Linked DNA regions of Sus scrofa. The protein of the gene in region 1 binds, or shares a complex with, the protein of each later gene. Links are inferred from orthologs where the notes say so. Each region holds a gene or a part of one and is shown on either strand. Other genes may lie near its edges.

Region 1 (5,280 bases):
TTTTTAAGCCCACACCCACAGCCTGTGGAAGTTCCCAGGCCAGGGGTCAAACAGGATCTACACCCCAGCCACAGCCACGCGGGATCCGAGCCACGTCTGCGACCTGCGCTGCTGCTCCCGGCAACGCTGGGCCCTTAGCCCACTGAGCGAGGCCGGGGCCGGAAGCCGCATCCTCACGGGTACTAGTTGGATTCTGAGCCCACTGAGTCACAACAGAAATGCCCTCCCTTTTTTTTTTTTTAGCTCTTTTTTAAAAAATTGACATAGAGCTGGTGTAGTGTCATCTGCGTCTCGGGCGTGCTGCGCCGTGTCTCACCGCCCAGCGTTCTGCTCCGTCGGCGCGACTGTAAGCTCGTCTCTATTCCCCGCAGTGTATGATACGTGCTTGCGGCTGGTTTCCCACTATAGTCTCTGTACCTCCAATGCCCCCCCCGCCCCCGCCCCGCTCTCCTCTCCCCACTGGTAACCGCTGGCTTGCTCCCTGGGAGTCTCTTTCTGTTCTAGTCACTGGCTTTATTTTTTTCAATCCTACGTCTCAGTGATGCCGTGGGTCCTTCTCTGACGGATGTCACTTTGCTCCGTGCCCTCTGCGGCCCTTTTACGGGACACGCTGCTCAGGCTCCCCCTTGTGCACCTGCTTCTCCCTCTAGGTAGCTGTTTTCCGAGTCTGTGAGCTTTTAGGGCGAGCTTCTTTCCTTCTCGCCTCTTTCTCCCTTAGCCAGCCACCTCTCTTGCCAACCATCCATCCAAACTCCCAGCATCCCCGCCACCGTGACCACCCTAATGAAGCCACCGTCACCTCTAGCTCCGACGAGCAGTCGCCTCTCACCTCTCCGCTTCTACCTGTGTCTCCCTCCGCAGAGCACCAGAGAGCTGGGTCGTGCTTTGTTCCGTCCGAGGCGGGTCACATCACTCCTTTGCCCGAGTCCTCGCCTTGGCTACAGGGACCCGCTCCTTCTCCTCCAGCCTCCCTGCTACCACCCTCCTCTCCGGTTCCACCCCGGCCAGGCCACGCTGGCCGACCCCGCCGAGCATCCTCGAGAAGGCTGCTTGCCTCTGCCCAGCACGCTCTTCTCGGAGATGCGCTTGCACCTCCTCCTCCGTCCACTTCCCGTCTTTGTCCAAATGCCAGCTTCCCGGCAAGATTTTCCTTGCGGATCAGCCCATTTTAAACTGAAAACCCTATAAAATTGATTTTTTTACACCACTGGTTTTGCTTTTTGTTTTCTCCCAGCTAGAGTATCACCTCCATGTGGGCAGGACTTTTGTAGCTGTGTCCTTACACTGAGAAGCACCCGGCCGGAAGAGTGGAGGAAGGCAAACCTCTACTGAGTGGCTGCTGTGTGCCTGCACCAGAAAACCCAGGCTTAGACCCAGAACCGGGAGCTTTTCAACATCCTCTCCTCCAACAGCCCTGGACGCTCTCGGCACAGGACGGGGCCCCAGGCAGAGCTCCCGCGCTGTCGTCCCCCCCCCCCCCAATAACATCTAACACACGAGGTGCGGCTGGACTCAAGTGACTCAGGGCCAGTCCCCCCGCCCCCCACCAAGAGACGCCCCTCTGCTCCGGATGCTCAGCCACGCTCCCGCCGCCCTCCCTGTCACTCCAGCCCAAGACCCAGACGTGGTCTTGGCTCCTTCCCCTTCGTCGCTTCCTCCCAGCGGCCACCAGGCCTTGTCCAGTACCCCACACAGGTCGTTCGTCTGACACGCTCCTGGGCCTCACCGCAGTCTGGCGCCCTTAGCCATCGCTGGCCTGGACCCCTGCGCTCACCGCCCTGATGGGTCTCCAGCCCCTGGTCTCCCATCCTGTCCACACGACGTCGGGCTGAGCCCCTCAGATCACATCTCCCCAGGCACACTGAGCACTTACTCCGTGCCAGGTCCCATGCTGAGTACTTCAAATTACACGCCTACATCTATGTCCGGTCCATGTCTACACCCTTAACCCTGTCTAAATCCACGTCCACACCGAGAGCTTCACAGCTGTCACCACAGGCCTATGAGACAGCTCTGGCCACCTCCCCACTTTGCAGGTGAGGCAGAGGTGACGCCGTCTCCTACGCCACTGGCAGAGCCAGGGGGAGTGCGGCCCGGGAGTGCGGGCTCCCGACCAGCGCGCGTGGCCCCTCTGCACACGCTCATCGCACCGCGCTCTTGAAGCCCTTCCACACCCTCTCAGCAGATACGAGGCCACTACCCATGGCCTGGCCGTGCGGACGCCGCCTTCAGCTCCGCCTTGTGCGGCGGCCCTCCCGCGCCGGCGGGTCCCTGCTGCTGTCCCAAACGCTCTCGCTTTCTCTGCCTTCGAGCCTTGCTCATGCTGTTCCCTCTGCCAAAAGAGCTGTTCCCTTCCTTTCCCATCCGTCTGCCGGGCCGACCCGCCTCCATTCTGGTCCCAGCTTAGAGGGCGCGTTGTCCAAGGCTCTTGGGTTGGGGTCCCCCTGGTGTTCCCAGGACATCCCACACATCCCCGACCACAACGGGTGACGGCCGTCTGTTCATGTGTCCCAGGGACACGAGCGTCCCAGGCTTGGAGGGACGACTGAATGGGTCGACGGTGAAGCCCGGGGGGAGCCACTGGACCCCGGCCCCCAAGCAGAACGGAGTGATGCTGGAAGCCGAGGCAGCCACGCCCTGGGGTTGCTCCTGGGTGGGAGGGGGTTCTGGGAGGGCCGTGGAGAGACGCCCCTAGCCAGGCTTTCCCGCGAGCTGGTCACCAGCGTCTCCTTCTCTGCATCAGCCCCCTCCCCCCGCCCGGGCCCCGCCCATCCCCCCACCACCCGATGCTCACCTACCACCCGGAAGACCATGGAGGTGGCGTGCGTGCCCCGGGCATTGGTGGCCATGCAGGTGTAGTTGCCGGCGTCTTGGAAGCCCACGGGATCGAGGTCGAGGGTCAGGACTTTTTGGTAACGGTTGTCGTGGAAGTCGGATTGTTGAGAGATGGCCAGCTGCAGCCAGAAGGAAGGGACACCGCACTCTGAGGGGTTGAGCCCCCGGAAGCTGGGGGACCCTTTAAAAGTCACCACTGGCCTTTTCCTCGACTCTTTCCTGGAACTCTGGGCCTCCGTTTCTCTATCTGCACAGTGGGACCGACACTGGCCCTGCGCTCCCAGGGTTGTGGTGTAGACAAAGTGAGACGCGCTGCGTGTGCGGACGGCACGGCGATGCCGCGGCTGGGGGAGGACGGCCTTGGGAGCGGCCTGAGTCCATTTCCTGCTGAGAGTCCGGCCCCACCCGCCCTCAGTCCCAGGCATCCAAGGTGGCCTAGGAACCTCTTGCTACATCAGAAGTGAGCGGACAGGTGGCTCTTGTCCGCCGGCAGGGGCGCAGGGAGTAGAGAACCCCCCACCCCAAGACGCAGCAGCGCGACCCTGCCTGCTGCTTCTGCGTCAGCCCCTGACCCGCAGCGGATCTTGGGCAAGTGCCCTCCGGCCTGGGGGAGGTCCCGCCCTGGGCCCTGAGAGCGGTGGGTGGGTCGGAGGCGGGGCTGGGGGCTGCGGCTGCGGGGCCCGCCCGCGGGCACCGACCTTGGTGTCTCCGCGGTGGAGGAAGACCTCGAAGTGGACATCCACGTCGGTGGCCGAGCACACGATCTGGGCGGCCTCTCCCCGAATGCGCACCAGCTCTGTGGGCTTCAGCGTCAAGGTCGGGGGGCCTGGGATGACTGGGGGCGGGGCGGGGGGAACCCGTGAACGCCCAGGCCGGAGCCATCATTCTGCGCCCACCACCGGCCGGGGTCCCGCCCCACATCCTGGGTGGCAGCCCCGACGCCTCCATCTCCCCACACCTCCTGCCTCCCAGACAGAGCTGGGCCCACCCGCCGCCCTCCCAGCCGCACCCTCCGTCTCGGCTCGGGCTCCTGCTGCCCCCGGCCCAGGCGAGCTCTTCACGATGAAATCAGGACAGTGCCTCTCTCGTGCCAACCTGGAGCGGCTTTCCCATCACTCTCAGAATAGAAGCTCCAGCCCCACCTCCCAGGTCTGTCCCTGTGCCTGCCCACCTGTCCCCGTCCGCTCACCGTGCTGCCAGGGCACAGCCTTCCCCGCCACCACCCCAGACCGTGCCCTGGGGAGGCTTCTCCCACAGTGAGGGGCGCTGGCCCCCGCCTCTCAGACCTACGGCTCCAATCCCCCTCAGAGAGGCCTCCTGCGACCGATTTAGCTGAGCCGGCCTCGTCCGACCCCAGTGCCTCCAGCTGGGCTTCTTGTTCAGCACTACGGCTGCTGACTTGCCTTTTGTCCCATCTGGAACCCTCATCAAGGGCAAATCCAGGAAGGTAACACCCCTGGCAGCTAGCCCGGTGCCCCACACGTGGTAGGCACTGAATGAACATCCGAGGCTGCTGTTGTTGAAAAATCACCTGATCTCCCCGGGGCGGGGCCCTCGTGGCCTCATGCATGGCCCCTGAGAGGCTCCTGGCAGCGCTGGGGCCCGGGCTCTCTCTGCCAGTGCACACCAAAGGCATTCGGGGCCTCTCTGCACTTGGGTGGGGGCCTTGGGCCTCCGGGACAGGTTTCGTGGCCTCAGAGCACAGGGCTGCTCTGACTGTGGCCTCATCACATACCCTGGACCCCAGTCTCAGGCCCAGGTCCTGCGCCTGGGTTCCCGCGGGCTCACTCGGCCCTTCCAGAAACCAGAATCGCCTTGGGCAGGGACGGGGGAACACAAGAGAGACGTCACCAGCACTGTCCCCAGGGAGGTGTCCCAGGCGCCTGCCGCCACGCCCCATCACCGGGCTCTCTGCTCCCCAGCGCCCGGCACCGCAGCTGGTGCCAAGCCAGAAACCCACGAGGCGGGTGCGGGAGCGCTTCGGGCCTCCCTCTGTTCCTGGAACCTGGGGAGCCTGTTCCCACCGCGGGCGACCTGCAGTTTCCTCTTTGCCTGTTTCTCATTTCAGCCCCAAAACGCGTCACCCTCCCCGCAGGGCTCCTCCCTCTCGACTCCGCCCCCTGCTCAAGGACTTTCTCGGCCTCTCCCACCGAGACCACCCTGCCCTGCGCTGTGGGCTGGTACGCGGCTCCGTCCCTGCACCCAGCACCTCGCCACCTCACCCCAGCAAGGGTCCCCTGCTGACTGTGGGGCAGGGAGGGAGCGGGTGATGAGGGGACCCTGGCCCTCCCCGTCCCCCGGCCCACACACCTTTCTGCACGTTGAGCCGGACGCTGTTCCACACCACCCTGCCGTCTACCAGGACGGTGCACGCGTAGTCCTGGCCCTCGATGAACTTGGCCTTGTGGATAGTGAAGCCATGCCAGGGCGAGAAGGAGTAGTTGG
Region 2 (5,987 bases), on another chromosome or scaffold:
GACATGGGAGGTGTGCCTACCAGTCCCCATGCCAATTACACAGGAAACTCCTTGAGTGGAGGACTTGCCTCTACCCATTATTCTGTCCCTGCAACATCAGACACTGAGCCAGGCATCTTGTGAGCTGCCCACTTCTCTCAAGTTCATGTTCTTACGCTGGCTGGCTTCTAGTCTTGGAGCCAGAGATACTTTCCTGGGCCCAGCCCTTCCTCCTACCTGATTCCACACAGGTCTGGCTCTGCTACTGGAAAAACCAGGGGCCCAAACTCAGTTTCACTGGGAACCTATCCCACACCAGAAACCTTTGGAGCCCTGGGTATGTGTGTCAAAAAGATTAATCAGAGGCACTGGAGCCAGCTCTAGATCATCCCTGCCTGGCACCTGCCTATCTGAGCCCCGTCAGGCTCAGCACCAGCCAGCCAGCAAGAAGCGTGGCCAGAACATTTTCTGAGATCTCTCCCTCTGTCAGCACCCACCTGGCCCAGTAGCTGCTCCCCCGCAGAGTGATGGGACAGGCTCCTGACACCCTGTCATTCCCCTTCCTGCCTTCTTGCACAGGTCCCCTTAGCCCTCTCCTGGCCCTAGGTCTCCCCTTCTCTGTCCAGAGGCAGAGAAAGGCCCTTGGGCTTTCCTTCCCCAGCTGGATGTCACCTCCTGGCAGCTGATGCCCCCTAGTTCAGGGAAATGCTGTCAGGGTGGGGCGAGGCCTGGCACCTTCCTAGGTTCTGGGCTCTGGGCTCTGCCTCAGTAATTCAGACAAATACTGCAAACAAATAGCACATTAGAGGCTATGAAACAGCTCACAACAACATGCTGATTTGCATATAACTAAAAGCCCGAATGTTTGTCAGCTCTTAGCAGAGAGGAGAGGCCCTGGCAGGGCTCCAGGGAGGTTGGAGGGAGGAGGGGGGCACAGTGAGGCTTTGCAAGATGGGGAGAAGTTGATGGCAGAGAGAGGGAGGGGGAGGCCTCAGAGAAAGGCCCCAGAGGGCCCAGGGCCATTCGGCAGAGGATCTCTGAGGATCCCTGGCTGACCTGGGGAAGGGGAGAGAGTGGAAGGGGAGGGGGACATGGGGCTCCTCTGGGTGGCTGAGGAGGCAGCCTTGGGTGGGAACGGCTGTCCAGGCCCTCAGGAACCTGCCGTGGTTCGGGACCCATGGGAGGAAACTGGGTCTTGCAGAGGGTAAGTCTCCACCCTCCACTGCTGCCCTTGAGGCTCTGAGCCCCTGGGGGGGAAGTGGTCTGGGGGGAGGGGCCTGGGGAAGAGATGCTCAGGAAGGCAGCCACAGGCAACTCAGGATATGGTTGTTTGAGGACAGCAAGGAGAGGGCAGTGCTTAACCCCAAGGGCTGCCCAGCTTTTGGAGATATTTCAGGTTTCAGTGGGGGGAGAGTACAGCTACTATGTAAGAGGCTGACTTTGAAGGTGGCCAAAAGGGACTCCTGGAGCCCTGACTTGTCCCCAGAGGAAGATCTGGACAGGCACCCAGGGGTTAACACTCTAGCTTGCATCTGGCTGGGCTGGCTCTTCTCCCCACCCCTTTCTTCCTTCCACCCACCAGCCTTGGCCTCTGGGGCAGCCACAAGGAGTCTCTGCCTCGGGCTCAGAGAGATGCTAGGACATCGCAGTCCAGCTGGCCTTCCTCACTCAAGTCCCATCCTGTTTCATCTTCCCCATCAGTCGGGTCCTCGGAGAGACCTTGGCACGGGTGGACCCTTGGGCTGCCGCTGTCTGAAACCGGCCCCCTTTTCTATGCATTTTACTCTCCTCCTTCCTCAGAGGTCTCACTTCCAGCCCCTATTTGTCTTGTTGCCTTTCACCTCATCCTTCCTGATTTTCCCTTCTGACCCCATCTCTTCTCTCTCAGTTGGGCTCTTCCTCCTCCGTGGAAGGGTTCTTCCCTCTCACCCTATCTGCAGCCCCCTCTCTTATCCTCCAAATATTTTTCTGCTTCTCTCCCCCCTGCCCCACGACCCCAGGTTGTCCTCCAGGGTTTCACAGAAGCACACTCACTGGGAGACCACTTACTGTGCAGGAATGGTGCCACCCTGCATTGTCTAGGGGTTGCCCCAGCTACAGCCCGAGGTTGGGGCGGGACAGCCCCTGTGCAGTCCTGAGCAGCCCGCAGCCCCGGTCCACAATTCTGCAACCGCAAACCCTCCTTCCACCTCCTCTACCACCACCAAGCCCAGGATCTCCCCAAGGGACTGAACCATATTTGACAAGAAGATTCAGAGCTGGCCCCACGCAACTCTGGGGCCATGTCCCCCACAGACAGACTTGATCCAGCCACCCAAGTGCCCAACAGCTCCTGCCTGTGTGCTGGAACAAGTAGTGGCTTGCCCTGGCCCCCTTTTTTTGGGCTGCCTTGGCATTCTATAAGCTGGATGGCTCCTGAACCTTCGTCATCCCGACGTGCCCACTCCCCAGCAGGACGTGTTTATGGCCGGGGAGGAATGCCCACTGGGAAAGCACCACCCTCATCTCACAGCCACTCCGCCTGCTCCTCGTTGGAGGCTGATTCATAAGGAAAAGAAGCAAGGAGGGAGCCTCTGCGCTGCAGCTGCGAAGCCCTCTCTCCTGCCGGCGGGTGGCTCAGTGTGCCCGCCTGTGCAATGGGGTGAGCAGCCCTCCCTTTCCCGGACAAGCGCTGCAGCCCCAGGAGCAGCTGCAGGGCCGTCTCTGGTTCTAGCCGGAGCGCACGAGGGGCCTCGGACAGTCGGCGCGCAAAGATGGGATGGAAACCCGAGCCCGCGGCCCGGGCGGAAGAGCCTCGGCAGCCGGCCGCCCGGGTAGGGGCTTCCGAGGGGCCGCGCCGAGCCACGGAGCTCCCGCCCTAGCCCAGCCCGGGCCCCGAGCCGCGACCGCCGCTTACCGTGGGAGGGCAGCGCCCGGCGGCGCCCGGCGCGGTCATACGGGCAGCTGGGTCCCGGCCGGGCGCGTCGGCCGCCCGCGCTCGCTCGCTCGCTGGCCGCTGCAGAGTCCGCGCCCCGGCCGAGGGCCGCGCTGCTGTCCCGGGAGTGCGGAGGGACCCACGGCAGCGCCAAGAGCACCGAGGCAAACTTTCACTTTCCCTGAGCCGGGCTCCACTGGCCAGCTCCTCGGCACAGCCTTTTAAGCGGACTTGTGAGGCATGTGGTTTATGGGAAATCACCTTGGACAGGCGCCAGACACACACACACACATGCACACACACACCCGCGCGCGCGCGCACTGACACAGACACACACTCCAGAGGCCCACTGAACCGCCTCCCCGCCCCCACCCCGCGGGCTGGTCTTCCCCGCTAGTCTTGCAGTCGCCCTCTTTGCTGTGCTCAACGACGGCGCCTTTGAGAAAGTAACGCGGGCTCCGCCGCCTCCCGTCCCCCAGCGCGCCGGCTCTGGACAGAGCCTTGCCTTCCCTTCCGCGCTCTCCAGGCGGATTGGGTGCTCTCTCTCTCTTTTTCTAATATTCGCTTCAAGGGACTTTCCCTCTAAGCCTGAAAATTCCCAAATCTGAGCAGGAAATGCTCCGAGAGTAGGGAAAAACGCTGGAGACCAATGCGAATGCTGCAACACCTTGTGGAGCTTGAGTCAGCAAGTTTGTAGGCAGCCCTCTCCTGCCTAGGCAGCCCCCCAGCAGCCCGCCCAGCCTCTCGTCTCCCAGTCTGGAGGCAGCGTCCAGGCAGAGAGGCTAACTGCCTGGCCAGAATGGGATGGATTGTGTCCTGTGACAGGGAGCTGGGAGGCTCTGCTGTGTGCCGGGAGATGCTCCCCGGCACCAGACCTGCAGGTGATGTAAATGCTGGCTGGTACCCTGCTCCCTCCTGAGCGTCCAGACCTGGGGAGATAGGCATCCTGGCTCTAGATTTCCCCCGATGTTTCTGAAAATGCTTTTACTGAGCTGATTAATCACACTTTGTCTCTACGTGAGAATGAATTTAAACAAGGCTTAATAGGGTGAGCCTGGTAATTACAATGCCAAATTTGGGAGCTTTCTCTTTCTTCAGTTGGCTGTGATTCAATGTTTCTCGCTCTCTCTGTGTGACCACCCACTGGCAGCCCTTGGAAATACAGGGCAGTCTGGTCTGGAAGGGGCATTTCTTGTCATCCACCCTCAAGCGGTAATTTTACACCTTCGTGCCCTTGCTCATAGTGGTCCCCCAGCAAAGAACGCTCCTTTCCCCACTTGTCCTTAAGGCAAACGCCTCATCCTTCAAGGTTGAAAGCACACCACATCCTTCAGCAGCAGAGCTTTCTTCCACTCCTCGGGCGGATCAATGTTTCCTGTTCCTGTGGTCTCACTGGACTGGGCTCCTTTCTCTGCGGTCTCCCTGATCCACTGTCATTCGCTCATGCCCCACATCATTCTAAAAAGTACTTAAGGTGGTACTGAGAGTTATGTTTTGGATCATCAGATTGAAACTTCACCCCTACCCCGGACTGAGAACTTTCTCCAGGGTGGTCTCGTGGTCATTTACCTCCAAATCAAGTGCCTAGCACATGGAAGGTGCCCACTTAACAGTGACCGAATCAAATGAGGCCATTAGAGAATGATTCATTCATTTGACAAATGCACACCATGTGGCTGTGATGCGACAGGCACCAGGCTGGGCCTAAGAATGGACACGCTGACATACCTGCTTTCCTGGGCTTGGGAGCAATTGGAGCTTAAAGGGTGTGGGGAAGCCCTGGATGCTCAGAGCCTTGCGGAAGGAAGAGCAGAGACCGAGCCCAGCCAGAGGAAGGAGGCTGAGGGCTTACTTCCCCTGGGCATTGTTAAATGGGCCCAGTACAAGCCGATTTAAGACAATGGGTTGATACCATTTGCTCTTAAGGATAAGAGGTTAAGGAAGTAAAGTAAGGAGATAAACCTCTTGACTTGTGGAGCTGGGAGTAAATTCCACTGCTTCCCCTTCCCTGACCCAGCGCTGCCTCGGGCTCACTGAGGCCGGTGTGAGGATGCAGCTCTGGAAGGCAGCCTTTCTTTGTCAGCACGAGCCTCGGGTTCTTGTTCCCCCTTCACTGAAATTCTTTACACACCTGGGTTTGAACCCCGACCCCACCACTTATAGCTCTCTGCCCTTGCAGCTCTGCCCTGTCATTTGTTATGTGACTTGAGACAAACCTCTCTCAGCCTGAGTGTCTTCATCTATAAAATGGAGACATCTATTTATCTGTCTTTCTTCCTTCCTTCATGTCTTCCTTCCTTTCTTTCTGTTTTTTTAAAAATTAAAGTACAGCAGTGGATTGACAATGTGTGCCATGTTTATCTTTCTCACCAAAGTGAAGTGGTGATTTTACTTTGGTGAAAAGTGATTTAATGGGATGAGGCCTATGAAGTGTTTGGCACAGAACCCAAAGGTAGTGCTATTACTATTATTATTATTATTATCTGTGCACTCACACAGGTCTTGACTTATGACACAGAGTAGTGCTTGAGAGTAAACTTGAGAGTCCCAATGCCAAATTTAGTTCTAGCTCTGCCATTCATTTTCTATATGACTTTAGACAAAGGCCGTGATCATTTGACAATGGCGATGATGAGCCCTTTCCCCAAGGAGGGGCTAAGAGGTCAAATGGGTAACGCCTGGGGCTCTCTAGGGCAACGAACAGCCCCAAACAAGTGCTTGGTTATGAAGAAGCACTTTGGAAGCGTAGGCTATGCCACGCTGGGGAGCTTTGCCTGTGCGGAGCCGCAGAGAGATGAGCAAGGCTCTGGGTAACTGGGACTCCGCAGAGGGACTCGCAGCTGTCTCAGCTCTTGTTACCTTCAAAGGGGAGTTTATGAATCTGCTCAACTTCAGACACGTTTACCACCCGGCGTGGGGAAATGGAGGCTGGAAGTGCTCGTGGCATTATGCCTAGTGGGGCTCCCCAGGCAGCATCTCCTCTGCTCTCTCCTGAGCGGGGCAGGGACTCCTGCCCCTGCCTGTCTGGCTGGGAGACTTGGGAGGCAGGTTCTGGCTGGATCTCAGTGTCTGTGTGTGGCTCCTTCGCTGTTTA

The links.
Region 2: the proteins of CSF1R (region 1) and CSF1 are in contact, whole or in part, in a crystal structure (PDB 3EJJ), measured with the Mus musculus proteins. The link is inferred for Sus scrofa from reciprocal best matches to the Homo sapiens genes CSF1R and CSF1. Residues at the interface, in NP_001032948.2 of Mus musculus: Arg142, Arg146, Leu149, Arg150, Lys151, Lys168, Val169, Leu170, Ser172, Asn173, Val231, Gly232, Phe233, Leu248, Ser250, Asp251, Phe252, Asp254, Asn255, Tyr257, Lys259; in NP_001107002.1 of Mus musculus: His38, His41, Met42, Gly44, Asn45, Gly46, His47, Phe87, Gln90, Asp91, Asp94, Arg98, Asp101, Glu110, Arg111, Gln113, Glu114, Leu115, Asn117.

Annotation. Positions count from the first base shown.
Region 1 is NC_010444.4:151,119,529-151,124,808, forward strand, and holds part of CSF1R (macrophage colony-stimulating factor 1 receptor), read right to left. Parts: coding exon 5,146-5,280; intron 3,671-5,145; coding exon 3,534-3,670; intron 2,955-3,533; coding exon 2,795-2,954; intron 1-2,794. UniProt on the Homo sapiens protein: Tyrosine-protein kinase that acts as a cell-surface receptor for CSF1 and IL34 and plays an essential role in the regulation of survival, proliferation and differentiation of hematopoietic precursor cells, especially mononuclear phagocytes, such as macrophages and monocytes.
Region 2 is NC_010446.5:110,194,814-110,200,800, forward strand, and holds the start of CSF1 (macrophage colony-stimulating factor 1), read right to left. Parts: upstream 3,420-5,987; 5' UTR 2,915-3,419; coding exon 2,876-2,914; intron 1-2,875. UniProt on the Homo sapiens protein: Cytokine that plays an essential role in the regulation of survival, proliferation and differentiation of hematopoietic precursor cells, especially mononuclear phagocytes, such as macrophages and monocytes.